Alligator mississippiensis: one gene and its partners. The main gene of each other region encodes a partner of the protein of the gene in region 2 in a complex. Links are inferred from orthologs where the notes say so. Each region holds a gene or a part of one and is shown on either strand. Other genes may lie near its edges. The genes, in order: ACAP2, RAB35, RUSC2 and DENND1B.

Region 1 (6,855 bases), on a different chromosome or scaffold from region 2:
GTGCTGTTACCATCTGAGAAGAAGTAGCTGTCTGAGTAAATCCACATCAGGGCAGTGGAGATGGGGAATGATACGTGCTTGTGTGGCATCAGCTCTTTATGCCACCCAAGTGACTACTGGTGACCTTGTCCCTCTTGGGGTTCGTAACCCAGGCTGTGAAAACCACTGGCTTGTGTCTCCTGATCCAATGCAACTTGCAGTAGCTGATTCTGTAAAATGAAGGCTCTTGGGAGGAATAGCTGGGAGGCTGCCGTGTAACTTGACATACTGTTTACAGGGTGGTTGATAGCCCTGATGGAGAGACATCACTGAACCTCCAGATTACTGTAAACAACAGCCCACTCGAAGGATTTTGACTATGGTGAATGTTCTAGTATTCAAGGTAGTACTTGGTTTTATTATACGGATGAAGTATACTTAAAGCTATGGCTTAGTTTTGGAATACTTTGTATTCTGTCTATTTCTCTTAGTTTTGATCTAAACTTGAGATGTTGCAAAAGTTCATATAATTATATGGACTTGTTTTAATGACTTTCTGTCTACTGTACATGTGAAGTTTGAATAAAAGAATGAAAGTTATTTTACAGTTACTTGGATTCTCATGTGTGAGCTTTCCTGAAACTTAGGGTGTGTAGAATGAATGAAGGGCAGGCACACTTGTCACTGGGAAGCTGTGGTACTTCTGTGGGATATTGCAGTAGACAAGGGTCCGTATGTGAGCTGTGCCAAATGGGTGTAACTGTGTGTTTTCTAGCATCCCTAATTGATGCTTTTCTAAGCTATGTGTTGCCAGATCTTGTGACATTTCTGGTGGTGTTTTCCTTAAAGTCCAACTCTTGGGTGAATAGCTTCAGGGAAGGGAGATGTGAGAATCTGTTTTCCTCTAGACCTCATGGTTGCAGAGGATGTATTGGACAGTAAGGTTTCAAATCAGAAGGCAAGCAGAACCTCATGGCCATGAGTTGAGGGATAACAGAAGAGGCTGACTTGATTTATGAGGGCTTGGGGTCAGCAGAGAGCTTCTCAGATCTGTTTTTGTTGCTTGAAATGGTGGTTGTGCAAGACCCCAATTGAAAGGTCTCTTCTACTTTAATAATATAATAATAAAAAAATACAGCTTGATAAGTGTTGCTTTGGGTCGGATCCTGAGATGCTGAGGCTCCTGCTGGATGTGAGACGATAGATTTGTTGCTTACAGAGGTTGTCACATATTCCATGGGAATAGGTCCTTTCCCATTTCTCTTGACACATGACAGTTTCTAATGCGTGCGTGTGTGCATGTGTGGGGATGACGACAATGTGTGCTGGATTTTTTTATGCTGTGTGTGGTTTCTTCCTTTCATTCGGCAGTTCTTTTTAGATGCCTTTTACCTCATGCACTGCCATGGCCCAAGTAAGAGCCAGATGGTGACATTTTAGGAAGAATACACAAGTGGTAGAGCTGGCTTGCTAGATTTAGAGACTTGTCATAGACAGATCCAGGTGCCAGTACTTGTTTGACTTGGCATAGTTCATTTTTCAGTGTTGACTCTATTCAGCATTGTAAACCCATTCTTTCCAATACTGCGTGTGCCATCTGTTAGTTGAGGACAAACATAGCGAACGCTGTGTAGTAGAGACGGCAGTTTAATACTTTTAGGTTCTGAACCTACATATATTGATTGTCCAGGGTCTCGTTTTCCTCTAAGGTCCTATGGAGAAGCTGCTGTTTGTATCCTTGGGGACTTAAAATAACCCCAAAACAAAAATATATATATAAAAAAAAAAAAAAAAAAAAGGGCCTCTCTCCCCTCTGTGGCAAGTCCATGGACCTTTGGATGACGTGGACATGTGCTTTGGGGAATGTCATGTGCGTGCCCCAGCTTTTAACCGTGAGCAGCTGGTCTGGGGTGTACAAGTCCTGTGATTTGGACTAAGACCTGTTGTGGAGCTCTTCCTGGTGGAGGTAGTATTGTAGTTCAGCTATAGTAATATTAGTGTGAAGCATGGGTTTTTGCTAGACTATCATCTTAATGTCCAAATCATCTTAATGTTGTTATAGAAAAAATTCTGTATGGCATTTTGTGGGTTGTGAGGTTTGCAGTCTGTTTTCTGTAGTTGCTTCATCATTTCACTCACTTTGGGGACGACTTGATGTCCTTTTTTAAAATATGTGTTTTTTAAATTGCTTCAATCTGGAGAGTGGGGTTATTTGGCTTTAGCCATGCTTCCCTTTTATTTTTTTAAAAACGTACAGAGGTAAGTGTTTCTGAACTTGTGCATATTACAGGAGGGAGTGTGGCTGGAAGGAAAGCTATTGACCTCTGCCCTCCTTTTATAACTACTCCTTTTCAAAACAGCCTTCCTTTTCTGGCGTGGAGAGAGAGAGAAATCTTCCCGCAGGAAGAAAACAAGATTCCCCATGTGTTTTTTAACATCCCAGTGCTTGGGCAGGAGCCCAGGTAATACAGCAACATGTGGTGTAAAAACAGACCCTGTCACCACTTCTTACTAATTTTAAAATTGAGTTGTTACTTGTCTGTAACGAAGTTTTTGCATGGAAATATTTTTCTAAACTTGAAGTCCTTTGTAAAAGAACAAACAAAACAACGTTGTCAGTCGCTTGGAAATAGCTTCTGTACATTTTATATTGGACAGTGTCATTTGCAAATAGCATTAACACGTTTCCTTAAGGAACTTTCTTTTGACGTCAGCGCCTTGCCCGTCACGCCATCAACATGTTTTCTCACAGCCCGATCCCCTTGTGAAAGTGCTTGGTCTTTGTGCAAGTTTTGTTTCTCCGATACTGTCCTTCTTTTAACCTGCTTCATCCTAAGCGTTTTACCACACGTTGAATAATTTCACATACTGATCGCTTTCCCACATTTTGAAACCAGTCCTGAAAGTGTGATGCAAAGCAAATAAAGTTGTGCTGTTCCCTGCTCCCGTGCACGGCGGTGTGAAACGTCTGTTCTCTGGGGAATACGGTGCTCGCCGCCGCCGGGAGGGGCACAGCCGGCCGGGGGGTGTCCGCTCCCTCCGCCCTGCAAGCGCGGGACGCGCGCTCTGCTCCTGGCGCTGCCGTGTGCCCGCGGTGCCGCTGCCCTGGCGCGGCCGGGAGCGCAGACCGGGCTCGGGGCAGGCAGCGCGGGTTACGCCGATTTAAAACAAAGGGTTTTGGTTTTTTTTACTTAAAGAACTAATCGAAAACCCCGGTTTTGAGCAGTTCAAATGAAGCCCCACTACTGCGTGCGGAGAGCAGGGGCGTTTCATCAACGGGGGGTGTAACTTTCTGCGGCCCGTGCCCGGCGGGGGAGCGGGAGTCCGCGGGCCCAGGCACGACGGCCAGCGCCCGCCGCCGGCCCCGGGACGGCGGCTTCTAACCCGCCAGGCCCAGATCGGAGCGCTTCCCGGGTGCCGGAGCGGAGCGGAGCAGCGCTGCTGCGGGGAGGGGCAAGCCGGGGCGCGGAGAGCACGCCTCGCTTCTCTGCCATTGGTCTTCTAGTGTCGCTCCAAGAGCGCCGCGCTTGCTGGTTGGGTGCAAGTCTACTCTCTGTATCCCCATTGGGCCGTTTTGCGGTCATTCAGGCTAGAGGGGCGGGACCAGGAAGTGCCGCGCCCTCTCCGCCGTGCTCCCTGGCTGCCTCACCTCTTCCGGTGCGTCTCGGCTCCGGGCGGTGCCGGCAGGAGTCCTTCATCTCCGCCTGGTGATTGGCTGGGTCTTGCCTGCTGCGTTCTTGATTGGATAATCTGCCTGCCACTCCCAGCCATGGGCCGAGCCTGCGGACGGCTCCGCCCCTACCGAGATGCACGCCTGCCGAGCCTCTTTCCGGATTGGCCGGGCGGGCCGCCACTCAGCGGGCGGGGCCTCGGCGAGCGTGGCAGCAACGGGAGCGCAGTGAGCCCCACCCCCGCCCGCCGCTGAGGAGGACGAAGAGGAGGATGAAGATGACTGTGGACTTCGAGGAGTGTCTGAAGGACTCGCCGCGCTTCAGGTGCGGCGCGGGGAGGAGGGGGGTGCCCCGGACCCCTGCCCTCGGCCCGGCTGCGGCGCCTGTCAGCCGGGCTGCGCCCTTCTCCTCAGGGAGGCCCAGGCGCCCCCCGCACCCGCGCGGGGACGCGGCCTGGCCCGCCCCGCCCCGCCCCGCCTCGCCGACCCGCGTCAGGTCGTGGGCAGCGGCCCGTGGCAGCGCTGAGCCCCGCGCGGGGCAGACCCCTCCCGGGGCTGAGCGCGCCGCTGCTCGGGGCGCGCAGGGGTCTCCTTGCCCGCGCCCTCGCACCTCCGCGCCAGCAGGGCCCTGTGTCACCGCCCCGCCCCGCGCTCGCCTCGCCTCGCCTCTCCCGGCGCTGCCCGTGGGGCGGTGGGCGCGCGCGCTGGTGTCCCGGTGCCGTCTCCGTCGCGCTTCGGCCAGACCCCCAGCAAGGCCGGCGCGGCGGTGGAGCCCACCAGCAGCGCGGCCTGGCTCGGAGCCGGATCGTGGCGGGCCGCGGGCTGCTGCGGGGCAGTCGCGTGGCTCACGTCCGTGGAGCCCGCGTGGGGAGAAGCGGGCGCAGCCCAGCGGCAGCGGCTCCGCTCCAGCTTCCCTGCGGCGGGTGAGCCCTGCGGCGCGGCGCGGCGCGGCACGGCACGGCTGAGGCGCGGGGCTTGGCCGTGTCGCGCTGGGCTGTGTTCTCGCCCTGGCCCTCGTGGCGGGGAGGAGGAGGAGTTCAGGGGCGTGGTGGCTCGCAGGCCCTGAGTCACCATCTCCCTGCCCTGCTTCTCCAGGTGTCGCCCAACACTGATGTCCTGGTGCCTGTTTGTACAGCTGTACAGGCTCTTTTCTTGAGTAACGAGCTCTGCAAATCTTAACGTAGCGTGCATCGTTTGCGGAAGCGTCCCTCTCTGACAAAAGTTAGTGTGGTCAAAGGCGTGCGGGTGCGTTAGAAAGCACCGTGTTTGGAAGTAGAGCAGTGGAAAAAACACTGGTCAGACCCGACACGCTCCTTTTCAGCATCCGGTCTCTGCCCCGTGTGACGGGAGACTTGGCAAGAGGGGCTAGGGTCTGACCCAGGCCAGGGCAGTTCTTATGTTCTCCGGGTTCGCAATAGAAAGATTTGAGCAATTGCGGATAACGTGGTGGCAAGCGCTGGTCTCGGAGGAGGAGTTGCCATGGACCTGCAAAGTATCACGTGGAGGGAGAGCTCCTCTGCCGGCCTGTTTTACTGCGTGCGAACCACTTCTGCAAAAATCGTGTGCTGCTACGAGACGGGAAGCACTTGGGGCTCAGTGAGACATGAAGCATCTTCCTTCCTGATCCCCTTTTAAAATGCTGACAGATCGAAGGGCAGACACAGATGCGAGGCACAGTTCTCGCTTGTGTGTACGTCTTACCGCAAATGAAGACGTTGCTTCGAGGAGGGGCCGGATCCGGAGCAGGGCGAGCTGGCTTTGGACAGAGCTCCGCGCAGCAGGGACTTTTGGCAGAGAAGTGCTAGATAAAGAATTATTAAGATCGTGCTTGCGCATGCTGAAAATAAGGGAAGAACCCAACCCAGCTTTTAAACTGTCAAGGATTGGTTGAGCACTTAAAAAAAGTCTTTTTGTAACTATGGGATGATTTCCTTTCTAATATGTGAAACAAGCATAGCATAACAGAGCAGAGAGCCCTTTTGCATTTAAAAAGGAGAAGCAAATGTAGGTGATGTGGAAATCTCTCTCTAAGTGAAATCTTAAGTGTCAAGTCTTGCTAAAAAAATAAAAAGGATTCTGCTGATTTTGTAACATTTAACTGTACCAGCCCATTAGAAAATGTGAGTAGAACGTTTCAAGCTGAAAAATACAGTGGGAAGAAGTTATAGGTGCTTAGGGTCATTTTTATTTTGTTCGCTTCTGTCACTGCTAATGAGAATTGTAGATTCTTGCTGTTTCGAAGGGAATGTCTGTTTCCTGAACTCTGAACTGCAGGACAGATGGTGAGAGAATGAGGGAGAGAAAAAGTATAGAGAAAATGTGTTGCCAATTAGTACCTAAAAGTGAAATAATTTCTTGTCTCTGACTAGTTTGTAGGCATTTCTTTTCCAAAATGACTAGTCAGAATTGTGTTCGTCTAAGCTTAGCTAGTGTGGTCTGGTAAGTCTAGTGTATGTAAAATGGTGACTTCTTGTTGCCTGTGTTTTACAGGTTGATTTTATTTTTAATGTTTTTACATTAGTCTCAACCTGGCATTAAATCTGGCCTACTTGATTGAGTACAACTCGGAGACGCGTCTTTGACTGAAGGAATGCAGGCCCAGCACTGTTGCAGGATACCTCTGTTTAGCTTCTGAACAGATTTCAGTGAATGTTGTGGAACTGTAAGCCTCTAGGAAGGGCACTCTAGGATCACAGGAAAGTAGTGCTGGAACGGACCTCACAAAGTCATCTAGTCCGGCCATCTGCCCCAGACTATAAGCCGAGTAGACATCTAACTTGCTCTTGAAAATGTCCAAGGATGGAGAATCCACCTTTCTCTAGGTACCCATTCTAATATTTGACCATTCTCATAGCCAGAAGTTCCTCCTCGTCTCCAGCCTTAGTTTCCCTTGCTGAATCTTGAGGCGATTGCTCCCAGTCTTCTTCCCTCTGGTCACAGAGAAAAGCTCATCTTCATCCTCCCTGTAATTGTGTTTCAGGTATTTGAAGACTGTTATCAAATCCTCCCTCAGTCTTCTCTTCTCTGAACTAAGTAATCCTGGTTCTTCTAGCCTTTCCTCAAGTTTTGCCTCCGTGGTCCCTAATCATCTTTGTTGCTTTTTCCAATCTGTTCGTATCTTTCTAGAAGTGTGGGGCCCAAAAGTGGATACTGTGCTGGAGCGGGCAGTTCGCCCGTCTTGCTCCCACCCAGCAGCAGTGGTACCT
Region 2 (7,344 bases):
AATGTTGGTCAATGCAGCACACATAAATTGGTACAGTTGTCACAAGGTCAGGAACCACTGTCCTATGAAGATCATCCAAAATATGCTTGCTCCATACCTAGCAAGAAGCAACATGCATTCTATACTGCAGATTTACTCTGAAGTTGAGCCCCTTGCCAAGATGTTTCAATACTTTAAAAGTATTTTAAGCAATGAAAATATGAATAAGGTGCTACGTAATCCGCTGCCACACTGCAGCTTCCCCATTTAAGCATCTTGGATTTGTTTTTTTAAAACAAAAAGGTGTGCATCATAAGAAACTGGTCCCTTCATGTGCATGTATTTGGGATTAGGGCACCCCAGATTGTCACCTCTGTGCACTAGTTTTAGAGAAGCCACTTAACTCCAGTTGGCCAACCTGGTCCTGGTGTTCCTGTTTAGAAGTTACTTTGGCAAGTCAGAGAAACCAGTTTGTTTTATTAACACACTCTGTGCACACTCCTGCAAAGGCTTTGTGCGATGCCAACAGAAAGCTCTTGTAGTTCTCAGTGGCCTTTTCAGATCCCACTAGATGACCTGCAACATCCAACCATCCCATAACCTAAACCCCCCTTGCCCAGAGCTCAAGGCTAGCTCCTTAATGTCCAAAAAAGCCATGCCTGCTTCTGAGGCCTGTAATACAAAGATGACATGAGATTTAATTGTACTGACAACCATGTTCAACCAGCCAAAGGCCAAGCACCTCAACTCCAAGAAGGTGACAGATCACAGACCAGTTAGATTCAACTGATACCCAACATCAATGCATTTTTCTATCCCATGGCTTTTCTTCAGGAATCAATAAAGGATGGAAGCAAAATGCTTCTGGAAACTGGGTTCCCTCTTGGGGTTAAAAAGCAATCACTCAAAATCAATATTTTAGCACCACGGCGAGATGTAACTGTACAAGTCCAGAACTAGACAACTCCAGTTAAACAGGCTTTAACAAAGAGCTGCACTTGATCTGTCTAAGTAACAGTGATGCAGCCCCCAGCAAAAGAAGTGTATAACTTTGGTAAGAGCAGCTTCAGCACTCACTTCACAGCAGAGAAGACAAGCAGGGACAAATATTTTTGTCAGACAGCACCAGTGTAGTAAAGAGGAAGCCAGCTGTAAGCAACACAGAAGAACTCTACGGGCTGCAAATTAACTGAACTTTGCCACGCTGATCTACTTCAGCAGTAAATAATGCCTTGATCCACAATAAGCAAAGAGCTCCTTAAGAAGAAGCCTCCTGAAGGCAGAAAGTTCTGTATGTTCCACTAACAAAGCACTACCCATGACCCACAATGCTCATGTATAGAGAAACCACACTCCCCCGACCCCCACTTCCTATGCAGTTATTTCAAGCTGTGGAGCAGGTCAGTGGAGCATCTTCCACCCATGCAAAAAAAAAAAAAAAAAAAAAAAGTAAGCAACAAGTCTTTGCTGACTGATGTTGGGATCTGCCACAGGACAGTTTCAGCACTGTAACCAGCTTTCAAAACAAACCCAGCTCTAGCTCAATTAGAAAAGTGGAAGCAGGAAAATAAGTCTAGCTATGGATTAGCCATATCAGTAATTCCCACCCCCCACCCCAAGCTTTTTCACCTCCTCCCCCAAAAAAGACTTGATGCAATTCTTGGCAACATAAAAAAAAAAGTTCTGTGGTTGGTTGGTTTGCTTAACTGGCCTGTTTAACAACCCCCAAAACTCAGATTTAAAGCTCTTCAAAATCCTCTCAACTCCACACTAGGGAAAGCTGCTGATGTTTCAACCAATCTAACATCAATGCATTTTTCTATAACTAGCCTTTTCTTTAAGGATCAATAAACAGTGCAAGCAAAACATTTCTCAAAAGAGGGACAAAGCTTTCCCTCTTGGAGTTAAGGAACAAGCACTCAAAAAGCAATACTTTAGCTCCATCCTGAGATTTAACCGTACAAACACAGAGCTGCAGGCATCTATAATACAGCTGCTCGTACTGAACAGAGCTCAGCAATTAGGGGCTTTGCTCAAGTTAAGCAGCAGCTATGAACTGCACTCCAATGTTTGAAGACAAAAACAAAGTCTTTTCTAATACAGATTATTTTCTCTTAAATTGGTCTGAAACTGACCACTAGGCAAAAGAGCCACTGCTTCTACATAAAGTAGGGGTGTCGAGGCCCTTCCCACATCTCCTAAGAAGTGGGTGCTTAAACAGGGCCTTATATGGCCCTATAGCCTTAAACAGGGCTGCTGCTTATGGGCACAGGCAGCCGTTTCTTGACATAAAGCTGCAGAGGTGACCGATCCTGCAATCATGCGATGCTTCATTCGCAGTCGAGCAGACCTGCGCCCTGCATCCACACCTCTGCGAAGAGACGCCGTGGATGTCACCTGCTCAGCCCGTGCCAGTTCCGGCTCCAGGCTGCAGGCGGCAGCGGTGGGGAACGGGGCTGACCGAAGTCCGGACGCAAGGCCAAAGGGCGCTCGCCCCAGGCCCCCGCCCCGGGGCAGCCCGCACGCCTGAGGGCCACCCCGGCCTCTTGCCTCCGGAGGCGTTTCCCGTCCCTTCACGTCGAGTCCCCCGCGCGGGCCGCCCCAAGCACAGGCCCAGGCCAGCCCGGAGCACCAGGCACGGGGCACAAACACGGCCCCGGCGGGGCAAGGCCGGGGATCAGCTCCTGCCCCGGAAGCGGGAGGCCGCCCCTCCGCCCCGGCCACGACTCCCACCCCGCTCCCTCCCTCCCGGCCCCGCCCCGCCCCGCCCCGCCCCGCCCCGGCCCCCCCGGAGCCGCCCGGCCCAGCCCAGCCCGGCCCCCCGCACCGCTGTCGCCGATGATGAGCAGCTTGAAGAGGTGGTCGTAGTCCCGGGCCATGGCCGCGGCGCGGGGCTCTGAGGCGGCGGGGCCCGATCCGCTTCCCGAAGCAGCAGCCGGAACTGACAGCGGCAGCGGCGGCGGCTGCAACACCCCGAGCGGCCGCACAGCACCGCACCGCAACGCGCCTGCGCCCGCGCCTGCGCGGCCTGATTCCGCCGCCGGACACCACCAGCCGCTCGCTGCCCCGGGCGCATGCGCGCGGCCTTACGAGCCCGCCTGCGCATGCGCGCGGGCGGGCGGCGCCCCCCTGCGCTTGCGCACTTGGCGCGCCCGCCGCCCAGCAGCCGGGGCCCGTGCTTGCACCTGGCGCTTCCCAGCGCCGGCTGCTCTGCGAGCGCGCATGCGCAGTGCGGGCGCGGGGCTCCTCGCGGGGCGTGGCGCCCTTGCCGCACCTGGCGGGGGGAGGGGTGGGCCCGGGTCGGGGCCCAGGGCAGCGGCCTCAAGGAAGAGGCTGAGCTGCAGCGTGTGGACGCGGCCCGGTCGTTGCTAAGAGCCGGTTGGAAAAACGTGTGGATGAGATGGTTGCGGCAGGGACTGCCCCAGGCCCGTCCAACCCGGTCGTCCTGTGAACGAGCCCTGCAGCTGCCCGGCTGCCTGCTAGGGCGGCATTGCTGCCCCGAGGGCAGGCCGCACCGAGCCCGGCCGGTGCCCAGACCCCAGGGGCTCCCGAGAGGGGTCACAAGCCTCCGGAGCTGGGGCTAGCGGTCATTCCCAATACCAGGATGCAGCCGCGGGCCCGGCCTCTGCACAGCGCTGCCGCCACGTCTGCACCCCCTTGCTTTCCCGTCTGTACTTGGATCCCCTCGCTGTTAAACACGAGGTCCATCGCTGTGGACGGGACAGTTTTATACATCCTAGAGCCACTGCCACCTTCGTAAGAGAAGCTCACACCTGCTGCTCCAACATTGCCCACTAGGCAGCCGAGATGCCTATGCGCACTCATTACGGGGTGTAGGTCGTAGCCGTGTCGGTCGAAGGACGGGCAGACAGGGTTCTTTGGGTGAATCCAGTTGGAAAAAAATTCCAAGCATCTAAGTTGGCCTCATAAAAGGTAAGATTCACCCAAAGAGCCTTGTAAATACGTGTGTATCGCTCGTTAGCGTTGCAAACAGACTGCACACCCTGATCAGTCTGATTGAACTAGGGCCTGCAGGATCTACTGTTAAAAAGTAGTCCAGGAAGCCTGTTTTAAATTTAGCATGTCGTTTATTTAGGTTTTTCCCCCACCAATTTTTGATTTGTAGGTACATGCTGAAAAGACACAAAAGGAGGCAAAGAAACACTTAAACAGGTGTTCTAGGTACTTGATAAAATTGCAGTCTTGCCAAGTTTTTTTGTAGTTACTTGAGCCAAAATATTGACACAATTATTTCAATAAGCTAAGCAGCTCATTTCTTAATTTAAGCATATGGTTACAATTTATCAGTTCAGGTATATTATTAATACACATTCTTTTTAAAATTGGAATAATTAGCTCTGAAAAATAACATTTACCTGCCAGATTGTTGATATCTGCAGGCTGGCAGAAGGTAGAAAACCTGGCAGACAAGTAGAGTGAAACTCAAAAAATGCTGTGACCCTTTATAATGTGTGAGATATAAAATATAGCTGAATCAGTCTTCTGCTTCACAGACACTGAAGGATTAGAATATATCAAGCTCTGAGGACCTCAGTAGAATAATTTGTCACTGGAACAGCACCTATATAAATCAGATTAATAGTCTCTTCTGTATGAATGACATGTTTATGGGAAATAGCTGTTTCCACTCCTATTTCTCCACAGGCTCACTTGGCAGGGAATAATTTCTTTTATCAAGCCTGCATATGATGGGATTAAGATCGGGAAGGCTTGGGATCTTGTTGCTTTCACAAGTAACGTCTCTTGCATCTTTAATCATCTTTGGAATTATTTCCTTCCCATTTACACAGGATAATTTATATACCAGTTAGACTGCAAAAGGCTAGTGGGGTGATATCACAGGCAGCTGTGCGCTGATGATTTTTGGCTTATAAAATGTGTAAAATATCTCTCTCACCCCACCCTCCCACATCCCCATTCAGCAGTGCGGCCAGTGTTTATGATTTTGATTGTAAGTCTTGCAATTGTTTTATGTTTTAGCCTTCAGTGGGTGCATCTACACATCCATTAATGCGCTTTAGTTAATGTGCATTATAGTGTCTCTGGGTGCCTACACATGAGCATGGAGGCTGCTCCAATGCCCGGGGAATTCCAGTACATTGGAGCAGACTCAGTTAATCAAGTCTGCTGGAGCATGGCAATTGTTGCACTCCAGCAGCCTCCTGGGCCTCACATTTCGGCATCCCCATGCTTAAAAATGGTGGTGGGGGCACTTTATCCAAAGCTCGTCAAACGAGCTTTAGTTCAAGCACCCCTGCCACCATTTTTAAGCACAGGGACACTGATGCACAAGATGCAGCAACACTAATTAGAGTGGCTCTCGGAGCTGGTCTAATTAAAGTGCCACCTCACCAACACTGGAACACATGTAAAACTGCCTTCCATTTTGAGGTACAGCAAAAGCCATGTTATCCAGCACCTTAGAAACCAGCATGCCGGTTGACACTGCAAAAGCAAAACCGGAAGTGCTCACTATGGCATTTCTGGTTTCACCAAGCCTCCATGGCCCAGGGCAAAGCAGCCTGTGCCGGGCCCCCCTCCCTGTCCTCCAGCACACTAATGCCAGGGACGGGCAGCAGCACACCGGATGCGGTGGGAGGGGTGGCAGCCCGAAAAGGCAAAGATGCTGTTTGGGCCTCTCAGGTAACCGGCATATTTGGTTATCCGGCACCCCCCATTCCCCATGGGTGCCCGATAACAGAGCTTTTGCTGTACTAGAAAAATGCACATTAGCCTAGTGTAATGCGCATCAACTAAAGAGCATGCTTTTTTACGTGATGCTTACTGTGCATTAGCCAATTTTAATAAGCATTAGTAAAAAGCAAGGTCATTTACATGATGCTTTAATATGCATTAAAATAGGCTAATGTGCATTACAGTGCATGTGTAAATGTGCCCAGTTATAGAAAAAAGATGAAGACATGACCAGTGTGCATACATCCTAAAGGTGCAAAAAAAACCCCACAAATGAGAAATAAGCCCTCCCCTTTCTTCTTAAAAATCTCATGAGACTTTCTCTCATAATTTTAAATGAATGCTTGAAATCAGTGATTTTCCTACAACATGAACACTTCACAATAGTATCAGTTTAGGAAGTAGTATCGGTTTCATAAAACAAGATTATCTTGAGATCCAAGTATTTGATATTTCCTACTTTCATCTGAATTTCCTGTCTCTTTCATTTAAATTGGATAAAGTCTTTCAAGTTTGAACATTTCTCCAACAAATTTCTTTCGGATCTACATGCAGTTCAACTGCCACTCATTGACAGTAACTTGACAATTCAAAGCTCTTAGTTTAGTCAGTGGTATAAAATGTCTTTCTTCTACTGAAAGGCTTATTTGGAAGACATATAACATGAAAAAAAATTGCTCTCTCTCAAGTTCGCACAGAAGCTACCCACTCATCAGAGTTATTATATATTAGTGTGTAAATATTTTGATAAATCAGAAACATTGACATTGAAATCACAACAGCCAAGTTTAGATTTTTGTATAGTTAAATATTGAAAATTAGCACCTTCTTTCCAAAAGGAGACCAAAACAATTTGTCATGTTAGTTTTAAAGTCAAACTGTCAACCAAATTGCTTTCAATTAGAACATGAATTTTTCACTTGATGCTATTCAAGGTGAAAACTATGTGCAAGTGTCTTTAAGCCACCGGTACTCAAACTTCCGGCCCCACAGACCCAATGTGTGGCACAGATCAGATCCAGCACTGAGTCAGTACACAGGGCCAGTCCATGGATGCAACCGCACACACCAGATGGAGTCATAGAATGAACCCATGTGTCAGCATGATCATCCAGTCCACAGGGCTCCCCGTGGGTCTGGACCATTGGGGGTGGGGGAGCAGTGGCAGTGTTAATTGCCATGGCCCTGGAAGTCATGACTGCCACTATTCCCCCACCAAATTTTTGGACCCATGGGGAACACTGCAGACAAGATGACACAACCTGTGCATGGCTGAGCACCACTGCTTTAAGCACTTAATTTATAATCTTCAGCCTAACATGAATGTTAAAATACCCATACATGATCACATACTAACAGTGGAACTTTAAAAAATGTTATTGTCTTAACACTGCTTTTTGTAAGTGGAAACTACTTTAGGATGCATAAAGAGAGAGAGCATGTGTCCACAAGACCAGTGCCTTTAATTACTGAAATGAACAACCCTTCTTAAAGAGATCTGTCACATTCTGTACCCCTTCCTACCTATCTGCTATAATAAAAGAATCATAATTTCAATATATACAGTGACATACAAAAAACTAGAACTCTTGGTTCCAAAATGATACCTTTTATTAGACCAACTGGAAAATGGCAAGAAAATTGTCCTTT
Region 3 (7,209 bases), on a different chromosome or scaffold from region 2:
CCACGCCTGCTTTATCATCTGCTGCTGCAAGCAATGACTTGCCGTGTCCTTCGCAGCTTCCCTCCAGCCCGCGACGGGGCTTGGAAATCCCGGGGGCCTAGGGTCATCGTCCCGGCATGACCAACAGGCCCGGCCCCACGCGTGCCCAGCCGGAGCAGAGCTCTGGACACAGCTGCCCAGCCATGACCGCAGCGATGCAGAGCCTGCCCAAAAGCTTGCAAAAATAATTTTTTCCAACTCTGACCTGGTTAATAAAAGATATCAGATTGACCCAAAGAATCGTGTCTGCCTGGGGAACAACCGCACTCGTTTCGGCCCTGCATTTGCTCCGTGCCAGCTCCCGGTCATGGAGCTCACCCCCCAAAACCTCCCCAAACAGCACGCCTTTCCACGGCTAAGCACTCTTATAACCGCTGCCTCTCCAACAGGCCACACCGAGCTCGCCAACGAGGTCTCAGCCAGACCCGCCGGCGGTGAACGGGCTCTCCGGCAGGTAAACCTCCAGCAGGCTCCACCACTCAAGGAGGTGCCGAGCAGCACGGAGCCAGCGTGGAGCACTGCGGCAGCCGTGCACCTGGCCAGGCAGGGCCAGCATCCTCCGTGGACACGCTGTTGCCGGTGGGGTGCACGGATGCACGCACACATGAGCACACACAGGAGGTGGGGGACTGGGAAGGCCCCGGCTTCCCATTCCCCAGAGCTTGCACCAGCAGCATCGGCCCCTCGCCCAGGCGGGTGCACAGAGCCCAGCCAGGAGCAGCCACGAGCCTGCCAGCTTCCAGAGCCCTCCACGGCGCGGCCAGCATCGTCACCGCTCCCGGCGGTTTTCCACACAAGCCAAGCAGAGACCGCCGGAGCCCCCGACCCCCCTCGGCAGCAAGGCCAGGGACCAGCCCAGACGCAGGCAGAGGCTGCAGGGCCACGCTCTTTGTGGCCACGAATCCACGGGGTGCACAACAGGAGAGAACTCGCACCCAGACCCGCAGCCCACATCGGCCTTTCGAGCTGGGCTGAGCAAGCAGCTGCTTCCCCTGCCCTTGAACTCTCCCCCTCCCAGTAGCCCCAGTAAGGAAGAACCAGCTGGAGCTAGACTCCAATAGGGAATGGGCTGCGTAACAATATTAACCCTTCACTTCCTGGACCACGTGTTTGGATGGATAGTCCCATCGGGCGTTTAAAGTCATGGCGGTTACGCGGGAGTTTTGGACAGAACCGGGGGGCAGGCTGCTGCCCCGGGAGTCCCACCGCGTGCTGCGGCAGCTGGGGCTGGGGCCGGGCTCTGCCACCTCAGGGCAGCGGGCAGGACGCGCCTCGGGGACCCTTGCTCAGCCCCGGCAGATCTAGACAGGCGCTCTGGTCCCATCCCCCCACGTGAAGCCGGCCAGCCTCGGGGCAGGGCTCCGGGCTATTTTTAACCCCGATCACATAACTGGGCTGACTAATCCCGGGCAGGGCCATTCCCCGAAATAGCGCCCCGGGGCGCGGACTGCGCAGCTGCTGACCCCAGAGCTGGCCTGGCTGCCGCGGAGCGATGCCCACCCGGCTCCCGGGGCTGGGAGAGGGGGCTGAGGAAGGGGGTCTGCATTTGGGGCTGGCCCTGGCTAATGCAGGGGGGCAGCTGCCCTTCCCTCACCCCACCCCACCCCACCCAGGGGGGAAGCCTCCCTGGGTGCCCGGCTGGATGGGGCCCAGCATCCTTCCCCACCCCGGGGGCTGGACAGAGCCGGGCTAGGGCTAGGCCCCTCCCTGCCCATCGCAGCACCCCGACATGGGCGCCTTCTGCAGGGCAGGGGCAGGGGCAGCTCCTACCTGCCCGGTGTGATGCGGGGACGGCGGGACCCGCTCGGGCGGCTCCGGGCCTGGCTGCACCGAGCAGCGGGCGAGGAGGAGGAGGACGAAGGACAGAGGAGGCGGCTCGAGTTGCAGCCGGCAAGGAGCTGCCTCCGCCCCGGCGGCCAGAGGGAGGCGGGAGCCCGGCCCAGCCCGGCCCGGGGAGGGGGCTGCGGACAGCTCAGCAGTGCCCTGCCCCGGCACAGGGGACCCCTTGTCCCCATCCCCTGCTCCCTGCATCCCAGTCTGGGGTCTGGGGGCAGCCCCCGGCCGTGGAGCCGGCCCCTCTAAATCACCCAGCCGAGATGCAGAGCCCCCGCTACGTGCCTCAGTTTTACCCACTTGTAAAATGGGCATATCGCCAGCCAGGTACCCCCGGGGGACCCAGATTCCCCTCTACATTCCTCACTTTTCCCCAACTGAGAAATGGGCATGTAGCCAGCCAGATGCTCCAACGACCCCCACAGGTCCCTGCTACGTGCCTCAGCTTTTCCTGCCTGTAAAATGGGCACGTCACCAGCAAGGTGTGCCAAAGGACTGATAGATTCCCTCCTACATTCCTTAGTTTTCCCTGCCTGTGAAATGGGCATATCATCAACCGGATACTCCAAGGGCCCCACAGGTCTCTGCTATATGCCTCAGTTTTCCTCACCTGTAAAATGGGGAAATAACCAGCCAGATGCTCCAAGGGCTCCACAGATTCGCTGCTACGGGCCTCAGTTTTCCCTGCTGTGAAATAGGCATAAGGGACCCGCACATGCTCTACTACGTGCTTTGGTTTTCCCCACCTGCAAAAGGGGCGTATCACCAGCCAGATGCTCCAAGAGGCCCACAAATTCCCCACCACATGCCTCAGTTTTCCCCATCTGTGAAACAGGGAAATAACCAGCCAGATGCTCCAAGGGCCCCGCAGATTCTCCGCTACGTGCCTCAGTTTCACCGCCTGTGAAATGGGGATATAGCCAGCAGCGCGGGGGCAGGGGGTGCTGCCGGGACAAGGCATTCGCACCCACGCACAGCCCCTGGCTTCACTGCGGATCCAGGGGCCCCTCCCCTGCCACTTACCCCTGCGCAGACGCTCTCAGGGGCCACTCCTCGCCCTGGTCCCGACAGGGCCACGGCGCAGCGACAGCATCTCCGGGCAGCCGCAGCTCTGCCCCCGACACGACACGTGCCGGCAGGAATGCAGAGGGAGGCGCCCACGGCCAGAGCCACCCAAACTCCGGAAGGGACGGGACGGGACGGGACGGGAAGGGAAGGGCTGGGGCCTGGCACGCCAGCAATGCACACCCCAGCCAGGCCGCGCAGCGAGCCACGTCGCGCCAGCCCTGCCTGCCAGGCGGACCGGCTGCCTGCGAGTACCCGGGCCCAGGCCCGGGCCAGCTCGCACGCCCGCCCCTGGAGCCGCCGGCCTGGACGCAGGAATGCGCTAAAAAAAGGGAGCTCAGCCCCAACATTTGTCTGGTTTAAAAACAGCTCCAGGCTGTGCAAGAGGCTGCTCGCCGCAGGCCCGGCAACCCCGCCGGGGCCTTCCAGATGCAGGGTGGAGGCACCCGTCCCCATGGGAGGCAGGGCCGGTGGCTGCGTGCACGGCGCTGCACGAACACGGGCAGAGGAGAGAGCCCCAAAGCAGCCGTCTCGAGGCCGGTTCAGCTCATTACACCGCGGGGCCGAGCAGCCCCAATTCCCACCCGGAGCAGAGCCCCAAATCCTGCTTTCGCCCCGCGAAGGTGACCGTTTCACTCCAGGGGCAGGTCGAAGGGCTTGGGCGAAGGACCCCGCTTGCTCCCACCTCCCTGGAGATGCCCTACAAGTCTCTCGGCCTCCAACCCTGCATGAGCCAGGGTACACGCAACAAACTCCAACGGGGGATTCAGGGCCGGGCGCTGGGGAGGAGGACAGGATGAAGAAAATCCTCTGCCCGGCCAGCGTCCATCCCAGTGCTCCCAGCCCCCTTGCACATGCATGACAGCAAGGGGCACACGCTGACCCCAGGGCCACAAGCTGAGCCACGGACCACGCTGGACAACCAGACCTGCATCCTCCAGTGCTTTAGATGAGCTTGCCCTTAAAACCAAGGCTCGGGAGGGGCTCAGTTCATTGGGGAAGGGGGATTTGGGGGGGTGGCAGCTCTGCCCTCCCCCCAGCCAGGGGAAGGGAAACTTGCAGCTGGAGGAGATTGCCTTCTCGCTGCTGTTTTGCAGGTCAGGATTTTTTTTAGCACCCCCCCCACCCCCCACCCCACAGAGGCGCTGGGTGCTGCAGCCCGGGCTGGGGCTGGGCTGTGCCAATGCTCCTGCTGCACCAACCCCGCAAGGTCCTGGCTGGAGAGCCTTGCCCCCACGGCCTCTCCCCCTCTCCATGGGATTTTGGAGTTTCTCTGCTGGAGAGGAGGCCGGAGCAGCACCGTGGCTGCAAGCACCGAGCCCAACAATTCAGCAACCCAGAGGTGCAGACTATCGCTTTGAATCATTGCCACACGGGTATGGCTCAGCTGCACAGTCAGGGCCATGAGCCGCTGACATGACGAAGCCACGGAAAGGGCCAGCGCAACCCCAGGATGCATCACTGGTGACGAGAGACAAGTATCACCAGAGTCCCCGGACCTCATTTGGAAGCGAGCGTGCACAGCCCTGGTCCCCTCGTGCGGAGGGTCAGGGGGGAGCCGCCTGCCAAGGCCAGCCTAGGAGAGCTGAGCGTGGGGAGGCTGCCAAAGCGAGCTGAGCCGGGACGGGATTGCTGGCTTTAAATACAGCAGCCGAGCCGGGAATAAACAAGGCTGCAAAGGAGCAACAGGCCCCCGCCGGGAGAGCCGGGAGGGCACAGGGCCACAAGCTCTGGGTGGATCCGAGAGGGATGAATAGTCAGCCTAGCAGTCCTCCGAGGGTCCAGCTCTTCCTCCAGTGCTGCAGGGCCCTGAATAATTCAAGTTGCAATGCATGCAGGTGCCAACACGGGCAACGGGCATGTTTAAAATACATTATGCAGCCGCTGATCGATAATGAACCTGCGTTCCTCGAAGCCACGGGGTTGTTAGTCACGCCCGGCCCTGGCAAAGCCTGCACCTGCCCGGGCAGCTCCCATTCCCTCGGCTTCTGTCCCGGGGCAACACCTGACCCGCATCTCTAGGAGACAGTAACCGATCCTCGCCGCCGAGGCAGCCGCGCAGCAGGACAGGATCACACGCTCCTCACGCGACACCAGACGTCGGAGCAGAGCAGTTCTGTGGCACCTGCCTGCCTCTGGCTCCCAGGCCATCGTCCCCGCAACCGTCAGCTCCCCTGGGCTGTCCCGGACACGCGTGGGGCCCCGCTGACGCCGGGTAGGATGCAGGGGGTCCCAGCCAAGGGCAAACTATGTCCAGGCTTGTGGGGGGCAGGGCCCCAGTGCAGCACCCTGGAGCTGCAGGGCAGTGCAATGGGCAATGCAGCTAGAAATGCAATGGCAGTACAGTGGGAAATGCAGGGGGCAGTGCCGTGGGCAGTGCGATAGGCAACGAGGAGGCAAACGCAATGGCAGTGTGGTGTAGTGGGCAGCGCAACAGGCAATGCAGTGGTAACGAGGTGCATTGAGCAAACCCCAGGTCCCCTGCAGCCCACAGTTTATGTTGCAGCCCAGGGGCGGGGCCTGGCTGCAAGCCCTGCCCACCATCCAACATCTGCAAGACCTGGCCCCCATAGCCACAGATAGGCTGCGAGTGGCCCTACCCACTTCCCCAAGGCCACGCCCCTTCTGCTCCAAGTTCCCATGCTCCCCTCCCTGCCCTTCTCTATTGCCCCAGGGCCATCCCCAACACCCCCTGGTCCTGGGCCAGCTGGGGGCAGTAAGATTCGGCTCGTGCCAGGACCTGGACCACAGTTCCCAGCTGTGGCTGCTGGGGTTCAGTGTGGGAGGCCAGCCCACGGGCATGGCCGCACAGCGGCACGACCAAGGACACGCAGTGAACTGTGGCAGGGATGAGAGGCGGCCCCAGGCCCTGCACCAGCGGCCTTGGAGCCCTGTTGGAAAGCAAAGCCGTTCTTCCTCCAAACCTGCACAAACGGCTGCCGTGGCCGAGCACAGCAGGGCACACACGTGCGCAATTCACACGGATGTGAAAACCCCGGCATGACGGCAGTGTAAAACACGAGCCCACAGGTGCGCCGGGCTGAGTCTCAAACCCTGTCTGAACCCACGGCTCCGGGTTTCTTGCCATTTTCCTCCACGGTGGCTGGTCTTGGGCCAGGACCCTGCACCCTACAGCACCCCGCTCCCATCCAGCCCCTCCCGGGGACCCCTGCAGCCCGCTCCCTTTGTCAACGAACAGCTGGGAGGTGGGTTACTCGTCCCATCAGTCATGATTTATTGTTAAAAAACAGGTCTACAAAACACCATGCGATGCTGGGAGTGCATCACAGCTCGGGACTGGCACACGCGGGGCTGCTCGGGCCGGCACAGTGACCACGCTCCAAGCTGCCACGCCAACACGCCCGTCTGCCTGCACACATGGGTCCCCAAGAGCCAAACCGAAGGGGAGCTAGTGCCCGAGCAGCTTCACAGGGTCACCGTTGAAGCCAGGACCCCACCGCAAGCCAAACCGCTCAACAGCTCCTCTTTTTCGGCTGGTGATTTGGTGCACTGGAGATCCTCCCAGCTGACGGTGGATGAACCCACGCATGCAAGACCAAAAGAGCTGGCAGATCCTCGCGGGTATGGGGAAACTGCATTGCTCCTGGTCCCGAGCACCTTCTCGCCCTTGCTGCTCAGGAGAGGCGAGGGCAGAAGACCACCAAGCCGACCCCGTGCATTGCACAGGAGCAGCCCCCAACCCAGCCCTGCAGCAGCGGGGCAGTCTCTGCCCTCCGATGCCCCAGTGCCACCCTGTGAGAGTCCCAAGGCAAGGTGTACTTGACCCTGGCTGGGTCTGCCCTGCCATGAGAGTCAGCTGGGACACCCAGGTGACAAGTCCTTGCACCTGGACGTCACTGCTCCGGTCGGTGCAGGGATGAAGAGCTTTGCCGTGGAACAAGGGCCATATAGCAGGGACCAACACTGGACTGACTTGGGGGGGTCATCCCCTGCCCCGTGCCCTCCAAAGTGCTCAGGTCCAGCACAGACCAAGGCTTGCCATGCAACCATTCGGGAGCAAAGGGCTTGAATCTCAGGGCCAGGGATCCCCCTGCCATCGCTCACGGCAGAGGCAAAGCCGTGGGGACGGCAGAGTTTCCAACACCAAGCCTCCCTCCCCCGGAGCATCGCCGTGCTCTAAGGTATTGCATCGAGGGACGAAAGGATGGCACCACGGGAGATCTCGTGAGCGCACCCAGCTTTGCACCACGCGCTCCAACCCCTTGCAGGCCGGCAGGAGCAGAATTGCCCCCGTGCCCCTCGGCCTGGGAG
Region 4 (7,158 bases), on a different chromosome or scaffold from region 2:
TTTATCTCAAACCGATTTCAACCATTTTCAAACTGGTTTATATGCACTGAATGACTGTTTTGTTACAGATTTAAACCAGTCTCTGATCACTTAAACCGGTTTATGTGTAACGTCAGTCCCTAGCCTTAGAGACTGGATTCCAGATTTCAAGACTGTTGCATATAAAACACATCATGGATGGTGGTTTAATTTTTTTTAATTTTAGAAGGATTCTGAACTGGAAGGGAAGCTTTCAACTATCAACAGTTATTTAATTATTTTTTCATAATTTCTTTTGCCTTCACTGACTATTAGGCATTATCAATTACGAAAATATGGAATGATACCAAGACTCAGGTCTTATAGGAAAGTATAACAATCACACATCCCACCCACAACACATCATTTTGCAGAACTTTTTAAGGCTGGCCCTATGCAAACTTGGGAGCCAAATTCTGATCTCAGTTATGCCAATATAAACCCAGGGTACTAACAATTTACACAGGTGTTAATGATACAGAATTTGCTCTAGCAAAATCAAAATGAAACTGAAGAGAGTCAAGCTCTTTGCGCTGAAGGAAAGAGTGGACTGTGAATCCACCCTGTAGTGAGAAGAATGTCACCACCTCCCTGCCATGAAAGGACTTAATAAAATTCTAGCCAGCAGTGTTGGTTTAGTCTCTTGGCTCAATTTCCCTGTCCACTTGTTTCTAAGAGAAAGGCATTATACTGTATTTAATTTATTAATCTCTCCTGAAACAATATAAAAAATACAGGATTAGGACTTTACAGTTCCACTTTTTAACTGAACTTAGTCACAAAGGAAGCTCTTGAAAATATATCCACTCCCTTCAGTATACTGCCGTAAAGTCTGTATTTGCACAAAAGTAGGTCTCAATTTACCCTTCACAAACTTATCTACTCTCATAACTGTCAGACTGTCTATCACAACTCCTAAACAGCAGCACACATATTCAGAGTAAATATGAGAGATTTAGCCTCTCATCATGACACTCTGATTAAGGAAGTCCGTAAAAGTATTTCAAAGGCCTGTTTTTACAGAATCAGAGACAAAATGTATTCACACTATTTTATAACTTAGTTTTAGCTAGGTTTATAACCATTTACTTGGCACTTCAAAATAGTTGTGTATCAATTAGTAAGTAACTGTAAACCATTACAAACAACTAACTTCACTGAAATTATTTTATCAACACTCATAACCAGGATAACGCTCATATTTTCTCTAGTGTAGCTATATGCTCTTAAGTTCTCTGAAAGAAGATTCTCTTCAACAGCATATTATAAAAATGTTGTTAGATTCAGAGGATTGTTGATCAACAGCCACCCTATTGATTCACTATATTTTACGTGGTATTTGCACAGTACTTCCTCAGAACCAGAGCTAACTTGACCTGTATGTTTCACAAGTTCAGCAACCAGGGCAAACAACTCCATTGCTGAAAACCAGCCCTATTTATTTGCAGAAGCTACGGAGAGACAAGCAGAAAACTCTGCATGTGAAAAATTATGAGAGTCGCTGCTTTCCTAAACTGGCTAGCAGGGTTTGGGGGATTATAATTATGCTAGGAGCCTAGGCCACTAGCACATTACTAAAACTTCTAGTTTCTTTTTAACTATATTACGGGGGGAGCTTGGGGAGCCTGAACCCCCCCATAAGAGATGACAGCCCCCTGTAAGATTTGAAAATCATAACCTGAGTGAGGGGGCGGTGCGGTCTCTGATTCCATTAGGGCAGGAATCAGCAATGTTTTTGGGCAGAGTGCCAGAAACACCTGCAACCTCAACTTGCAAGATGTTCGCTTGCCAGGGGCAAATGGTGAGGAAGCCACAAAGGGCCCGATCCTTGTTGTGATAGTGCAGCCGTGGCCCCTTCCCTGCCAACTACCCTGAGGCACATGTGCCAACCAAAATGCAGGAGTAGGTATGGGTGCCAGTGTGGCACTCAAAGGCATTAGGGCATGGTGATGGGCAGCCCAATTTTTTTTTTTTTTTTTTTGCAGACCACCCCCCCCAAGAGTCAAGGCATAATTCGAACCCTGCAGGTACATAATCCAGGTACATGGGTGACTGGTGCCTCCTAAATCTCAGGGGGCACCCACAGAAGCCGGTGGCGGTGGCAGAGACAGTGATGGCGAGCACCCACAGAAGCTAGGGTTGGCGTTGGTGGCGGGGATGGGTGAGCACCTGCAGAAGCTGGCAGTGGTGGTTGGGATGGCCCTGTCAAGGGGCGCACATGCCCCCCCTACCAGTCACCTATGTCCAGGTAGAGGGACCTGCTGCTGGTCAGAGTCTGGGTAGCGCCAAGCCAAGTTTGCTCTGGTTCTGACAAAGCAGAAAGTGAGGGGAGGGGGGGCACCCCCAGGAGACCTCGGACCTGGCATCCACAAGGAGCAGGGTGCTGAGGGGCAGAAACCACCCCCTGGCGATGCCCCCCTCTTGCCAGGCAGATTCCCCGGCTGGGCGGGGACACCCCCGTGAGCCCAGGGGCGTGTGTGGCTTGGCCTGGCAATGAAGGGCTTGGCCAGGAGGGGCCATGTTCAGAGGAGGGTGTGAGGCGGGGCGGGCGTCTCCGTGACGAGGGGCAGGGAAGATGCCGGGGGTGGGGCAGCGCCTCGGGGAGAGGGCAGCATCCTCCCGCGGGCCGGGGAACCCCGCGCTGTCAGTACCCCCCTCCCGCGGGCCGGGGCCTAGGCGCCCCCTCCCCCGCCCCCGGTAGCACCGCCGCGCCGGCCCCGCGCTCACTTGATCCTGCTGTCCATGCTCACATCGCGGGCCCCGGCGGCCGCTCCCGCCGCGCCGAGGGGGACGGGGCCCCGCGCCGGGCGGGGGAGGGAGGCGGCGGGAGCTGGGGGGGGTCACGGCGCCGGCTGGCGGCTGCGGCGCGGCGCCGGCTCGGGCCGTCACGGCGGCGGCACCTCCTCCTCCCCCCGCCCCGGCCGCTCAGTTCCTGTTGCCGCGGCTCCGGCACCTCCTGGGAACCAGGAAGCGGCGCGGCGGCCGCAGGAGCTCCTCGGCCCGCGTCACCTGGGCCCGCGGGGCGGGGGCTGCCCGGGCCGGGCCCGCCGGGGTCGCCGGCCTGGCCCGAGCGAGGCGGGGCCCGGCGTGGGAACCTCCCCCCCGCGGCCAGGCACCCGCACCCGGGAACCGGCACAGCAAGGACCCGGCCTTCCCCTGCAGCCCCTTGGCACCGACCCACCTTCCCCCGCCGCCCGCACCTGCTTCAGATCCCTTCGGTTTCTTCCCTCCCCCCTCCAGGGCAAAAACGGAGACAGAGGGGTCCTTTGCAGTAACCCCTTTGCTGCACCAGAGCCAAACCCTTCATCATCAGAGAGAAAACGCTGGGGGAAACGCCTGCGAAGTCACCTTCCAAGAGTGGCCGATATTTTTTATTGTTGGAAAAATTCTTCTTTGCCCCTTTCGGGTATAAATGCCCTGGGCCAGGCTGAGGAAGTCTCTGCAGTTGGTGTGGGCTCTACCAGCTGCAGATGCTTCCTCAGCCCGTGGGTGACTAGTGCTCCTGAGTCGGGGCGGGGCACCTGCCCCCTCAGCAGCCAGTCAGGGACTGTGGGGGGTCCCCCGCAGCTCATCCCATGGACCAGGGAGAGGAGGTCCCCTGTGGCTGATCCCAGCAGTGCTTCTCCTGGCACCCCCACTCCCCAGCTGGCACTAAGGGGGGGCATCAGCTCTTCCACATCCCCCCCAGCCCACCACCTAAGCGGGGAATGCTGCCTGTCAGGGGGTATACATGCACCCCCATGTACCCCCTATACATCGCCACTGCCTCAGCCTGACACAGGGTATTTATACCCAAAAAAGAATTTTTCCAACTATTTGAGCTGGTCTAATAAAATATCATTTACCCAAAGAACCTTGTCTGTCTGTGTCCTTAGGCCAACATGGCTACAACCTATACCCCTGTCTTCAGAGTGACACTTAGTTGGCCGCATTTTGGGGCTTGTGAGACCAGCAGCTAAGGCAAGGACTCAACAGTTAGGCCCCAGCTGCATAAAAAAAAAAAAAATCTTAGGCACAGGCTTAGCTTGACCCACTGTAATTTGTCCAACAGCTGTTGATAAGAATCCAAAATCCACAGAAAAGCCACATTGTTGCATGAGTCCTGGGCAAGCCAAATCATGTTGGTTTATGGGTCTATTTGAGGTGTGTAGTTTGTAGCCATGTTGGTCTAAGGACACAGGCAGACAGCCTGCTAAGAAGTTTTCCAACTATTTGAGTTGGTCTAATAAAAGATGTCGGATTTACTCAAAGAACCTGGGTCTATTCGAATGGCTTAACTTGCAGGGCCCAGCCAGGCCCTCGTAGACTTCATAAACAAAAAGCCCTGAAGGGTGAAAGCAGGCAGAAGGCTGGGCAGTGTGGACAGTGCCACACCACCCTGCCTTCTGCCTAGCTTCAGACCAACAGAATTTCTACTCCTAGGTTGAAAGTGTATGAGAAAGAGCGCAAGTGAGGAAACAGAAAATGCATTAATCCTGCCAGCATTTAGGCATGTGAATAGCTCCGCTGCAGTCAAATCAACTACTTACATATAAAGTACATATATGTCCGTGTGGACAGTTTCAATATTAGTTGCTAAGAAACCGATTCTTGTTGGACATGTGTAAAGGAATAATTTGAGTCAAGGTCTTTCGCTGGGCTATATTTAGCCCTACTGCAAACAGATGCCCCTCAGGTTGATTTCAGTAGGAGCTCTCATGCCAGGGTTAAATTTGGTCCATTAAGTTTACAGATAGGAGTGCAGTGACAGGACAGTTAAAGTGTCCACTACAGCTCCAGAGGTGAGAGAGTTCAAGCCCCAGTTGATCCAGCTATAAATGGGTATCTGGTCATTTGGCTTGGAAAGGCAACAGGATGGGATGCTTCCTGGTGTGCTGTTAGCGATAGAAACTGATGGACCATAATCACACAAGCTCTACAGGCTGCAAACCAGTAACATAACTAAGGGGGAGGGGGTGGCAACTGGGACAGCAGTGCCAGTAGCTGCCTCTGGGGCTACCATCACAGCAGTGGCTAATCATCATAGTGGCAGTTAGTGCTGCTCAATGCATTACGGCTGCCTTGCAATTGTTCTTCAGTAAACTCAGGAGGTTTGGATTAGTTTGTAAGGACTACAGTCATTTTGGCAACCGTTATATTATATCCTGTATAAATCATCAGACGGACCAAAATAGACAGGTGTATAAAGTGAGCAGGTTTAGATTATTTACCTGGAGATTTTATAACTACTGCATATATTTCATATCACAGTGGGGGGAAAGTAATGCTTTGAGGATTCTAGAAAAGATGATGAATGTTACTGTTGCTTACTGTTCATCTTTCCTTTGTCCCAGGTCCTTAACAAACTGCTTAACAGGGAATCTAATGGAAGAAATTAGCACGCTAAATCCACAAAATATATCAGTAAATACAATCAACATGAGTAGCTTTCCACACAAGAGAAGTCTTACTGACTATGAAATGGAAGAAAAACAAGCACTAGCCTTGAGAAAGCTCCAAGACCCATTCATCTTAAGTGAACTAAACAGCCAGATTCCCTCCCACACCAAGTTTCCTTCACCCTCACCCTCATTCACTGCAATGAAACATTTATAAAACAGAAAGTTTACATTACTGTGCCAAAGCACAAACGTCATTGATTTTGCTGCTCCCTCTGAAATCAATCATAATATCAACACTTGAAGAGAAGAATAAGTGCAAGCCAATTATATATTAAACACATAAAATAGCATCATGGAGGTTGAAAATTCAAATATGCAAAAGCCAAGAAATTACAAATATTAAATATTCTGATGCAATCTCTTCTTGGCCACGTTGCACATCTTATATCTATATGTCTCGCTGTATATAGATTAAGATGCAATAAAACATACAGAATGTGCAACAAGACCAATTCAAAGTTGAAGCAAAAGAATGAACATTGAGTGTTAACTTTCTGCATACTTAATTCTGCATTAATTTTTTGTCACATTTAAGCGGACCTGCAACTCCCACTGAAGTCCATGGAAGATGTTGGGGTTCATCTTATTGTAGAATATTTTCCAACTATCTTTTTTAATTAAAAACACTAATTCAATGTTGCTTTCATTGAGGCTATCCATCCATTGCTGAACTACTTACAAATGAACTTCTCTGAGGGTATCAAGTGAGGTGAAGCAAAAATACTCCCGTAAAATCTGCCAACAAATAAATGTACCTGCTTGAAATGCCAAAATCTGATGCTCCCTTCAGTACACTATGTTTACAAGGCATCATCTAAAATGATCTGTATGTCCAGGGGTCATTTCTTATAAAAGAAATATTTTAGTAGATGAGATTCAAAAAAGGGAGACAAGAAAAAAATAAAGCTATGAAAAAACTTTAATTTGGAGAGAAATTAAAGAGAGTCAACCTTAGAAATGAAACAAACAAAAGATGACATTATAAAATAGAGAATGTAGACTGCGAGCTTCTGTTCTTCCTGTCTTGTAAGGCAAGAAAAAGAGCCTGTGTAAGAAATCAAAGGATGGCAAATTCTAAACACCAATGACTTGGACTCCAAAAGGGATTGGATGTTTATAAGGATTAAAAGAATGTCCAGAATTGTTATAGCTAGTAATAAAAAAAATGTACCCAAAAAGATAAAACCTCATGTTTAGGGTTCGAGTCAATCGCAACGATGGATTTAAATGAAACCTTCATCTTTCCTCTGTGGTGTCTTACACTTTTTCTGAGGTATCTGCTGCTTACTATTTTTGGACTTGATGGACCACAAGTTCACTGTAGCACATATTGATGCAGTGTAGGAATCCCACCTAGCCTGTTGGGTTTATCTGGCTCAAGGATGGGTGGTTCACATATCCTCTGGGCCTCTTGTGGCTTTATTCTTGATTGGGGAAATTATTCCCATTCATGATTCTATAACAGTTTATCACTAAGAGTAAACTAAGTAGATTCTCACAACTGACACAAAGTGTCCCAGTTTTCATGCTTGGAAGAGCGGGGACAGAGTTGGCAATCTTGATACTTAATACCTACATTAAAACTCCAGTTAGATTTAATAAAAAGAGGGCAGTGTTGAGAAAAGTACTGTTATGCCATTCCACCATGGGCCCTATCTGAACCCTTCTTCTCTAAAGGAAAAATAAGACCAAGAGAAAA

Evidence for each region.
Region 1: the proteins of RAB35 (region 2) and ACAP2 are in contact, whole or in part, in a crystal structure (PDB 6IF3), measured with the Homo sapiens proteins. The link is inferred for Alligator mississippiensis from reciprocal best matches to the Homo sapiens genes RAB35 and ACAP2. Residues at the interface, in NP_006852.1 of Homo sapiens: Arg3, Asp4, Tyr5, Leu8, Ile41, Gly42, Val43, Asp44, Phe45, Ile47, Lys58, Gln60, Trp62, Phe70, Arg71, Thr72, Ile73, Thr76, Arg79; in NP_036419.3 of Homo sapiens: Val715, Ala718, Asn719, Ala720, Asp721, Val723, Thr724, Arg727, Leu728, Arg730, Met731, Glu734, Met735, Ser738, Glu748, Thr749, Gln751, Arg755, Asp756, Gln759, Met760.
Region 3: the proteins of RAB35 (region 2) and RUSC2 are in contact, whole or in part, in a crystal structure (PDB 6IF2), measured with the Homo sapiens proteins. The link is inferred for Alligator mississippiensis from reciprocal best matches to the Homo sapiens genes RAB35 and RUSC2. Residues at the interface, in NP_006852.1 of Homo sapiens: Asp4, Tyr5, Leu8, Phe9, Lys10, Ser22, Leu26, Asp30, Ile38, Thr40, Val43, Asp44, Phe45, Lys46, Ile47, Lys58, Gln60, Trp62, Thr76, Arg79, Gly80, His82; in NP_001129471.2 of Homo sapiens: Val997, Lys998, Asn1001, Asp1005, Val1008, Thr1013, Arg1015, Lys1020, Glu1119, Glu1155, Leu1158, Leu1159, Gln1161, Pro1162, Leu1165, Leu1166.
Region 4: the proteins of RAB35 (region 2) and DENND1B are in contact, whole or in part, in a crystal structure (PDB 3TW8), measured with the Homo sapiens proteins. The link is inferred for Alligator mississippiensis from reciprocal best matches to the Homo sapiens genes RAB35 and DENND1B. Residues at the interface, in NP_006852.1 of Homo sapiens: Lys10, Leu12, Ser17, Ser36, Tyr37, Ile38, Thr39, Thr40, Ile41, Gly42, Val43, Asp44, Phe45, Gln60, Trp62, Thr64, Ala65, Gly66, Arg69, Phe70, Arg71, Thr72, Ile73, Thr74, Ser75, Thr76, Tyr77, Arg79, Gly80, Thr81; in NP_001182144.1 of Homo sapiens: Met1, Arg4, Glu43, Ser47, Phe51, Val72, Leu73, Thr74, Asp75, Ile76, Glu77, Ser78, His211, Glu212, Arg213, Arg214, Gln242, His243, Ile244, Ile246, Leu249, His252, Leu253, Asp255, Tyr256, Cys258, Ala259, Pro260, Met261, Pro262.

What each region holds. Positions count from the first base shown.
Region 1 is NC_081830.1:89,273,471-89,280,325, reverse strand, and holds the start of ACAP2 (arf-GAP with coiled-coil, ANK repeat and PH domain-containing protein 2), read left to right. Parts: upstream 1-3,851; 5' UTR 3,852-3,921; coding exon 3,922-3,974; intron 3,975-6,855. UniProt on the Homo sapiens protein: GTPase-activating protein (GAP) for ADP ribosylation factor 6 (ARF6). Doesn't show GAP activity for RAB35.
Region 2 is NC_081833.1:21,328,316-21,335,659, reverse strand, and holds the start of RAB35 (ras-related protein Rab-35), read right to left. Parts: upstream 3,015-7,344; 5' UTR 2,859-3,014; coding exon 2,807-2,858; intron 2,358-2,806; exon of another isoform or gene 2,343-2,357; coding exon of another isoform or gene 2,330-2,342; intron 1-2,329. UniProt on the Homo sapiens protein: The small GTPases Rab are key regulators of intracellular membrane trafficking, from the formation of transport vesicles to their fusion with membranes.
Region 3 is NC_081826.1:301,427,265-301,434,473, reverse strand, and holds the start of RUSC2 (AP-4 complex accessory subunit RUSC2), read right to left. Parts: upstream 3,012-7,209; 5' UTR 2,896-3,011; intron 1,936-2,895; exon of another isoform or gene 1,810-1,935; intron 1-1,809. UniProt on the Homo sapiens protein: Associates with the adapter-like complex 4 (AP-4) and may therefore play a role in vesicular trafficking of proteins at the trans-Golgi network.
Region 4 is NC_081828.1:66,335,767-66,342,924, forward strand, and holds the start of DENND1B (DENN domain-containing protein 1B), read right to left. Parts: upstream 3,019-7,158; 5' UTR 2,763-3,018; coding exon 2,746-2,762; intron 1-2,745. UniProt on the Homo sapiens protein: Guanine nucleotide exchange factor (GEF) for RAB35 that acts as a regulator of T-cell receptor (TCR) internalization in TH2 cells. Acts by promoting the exchange of GDP to GTP, converting inactive GDP-bound RAB35 into its active GTP-bound form.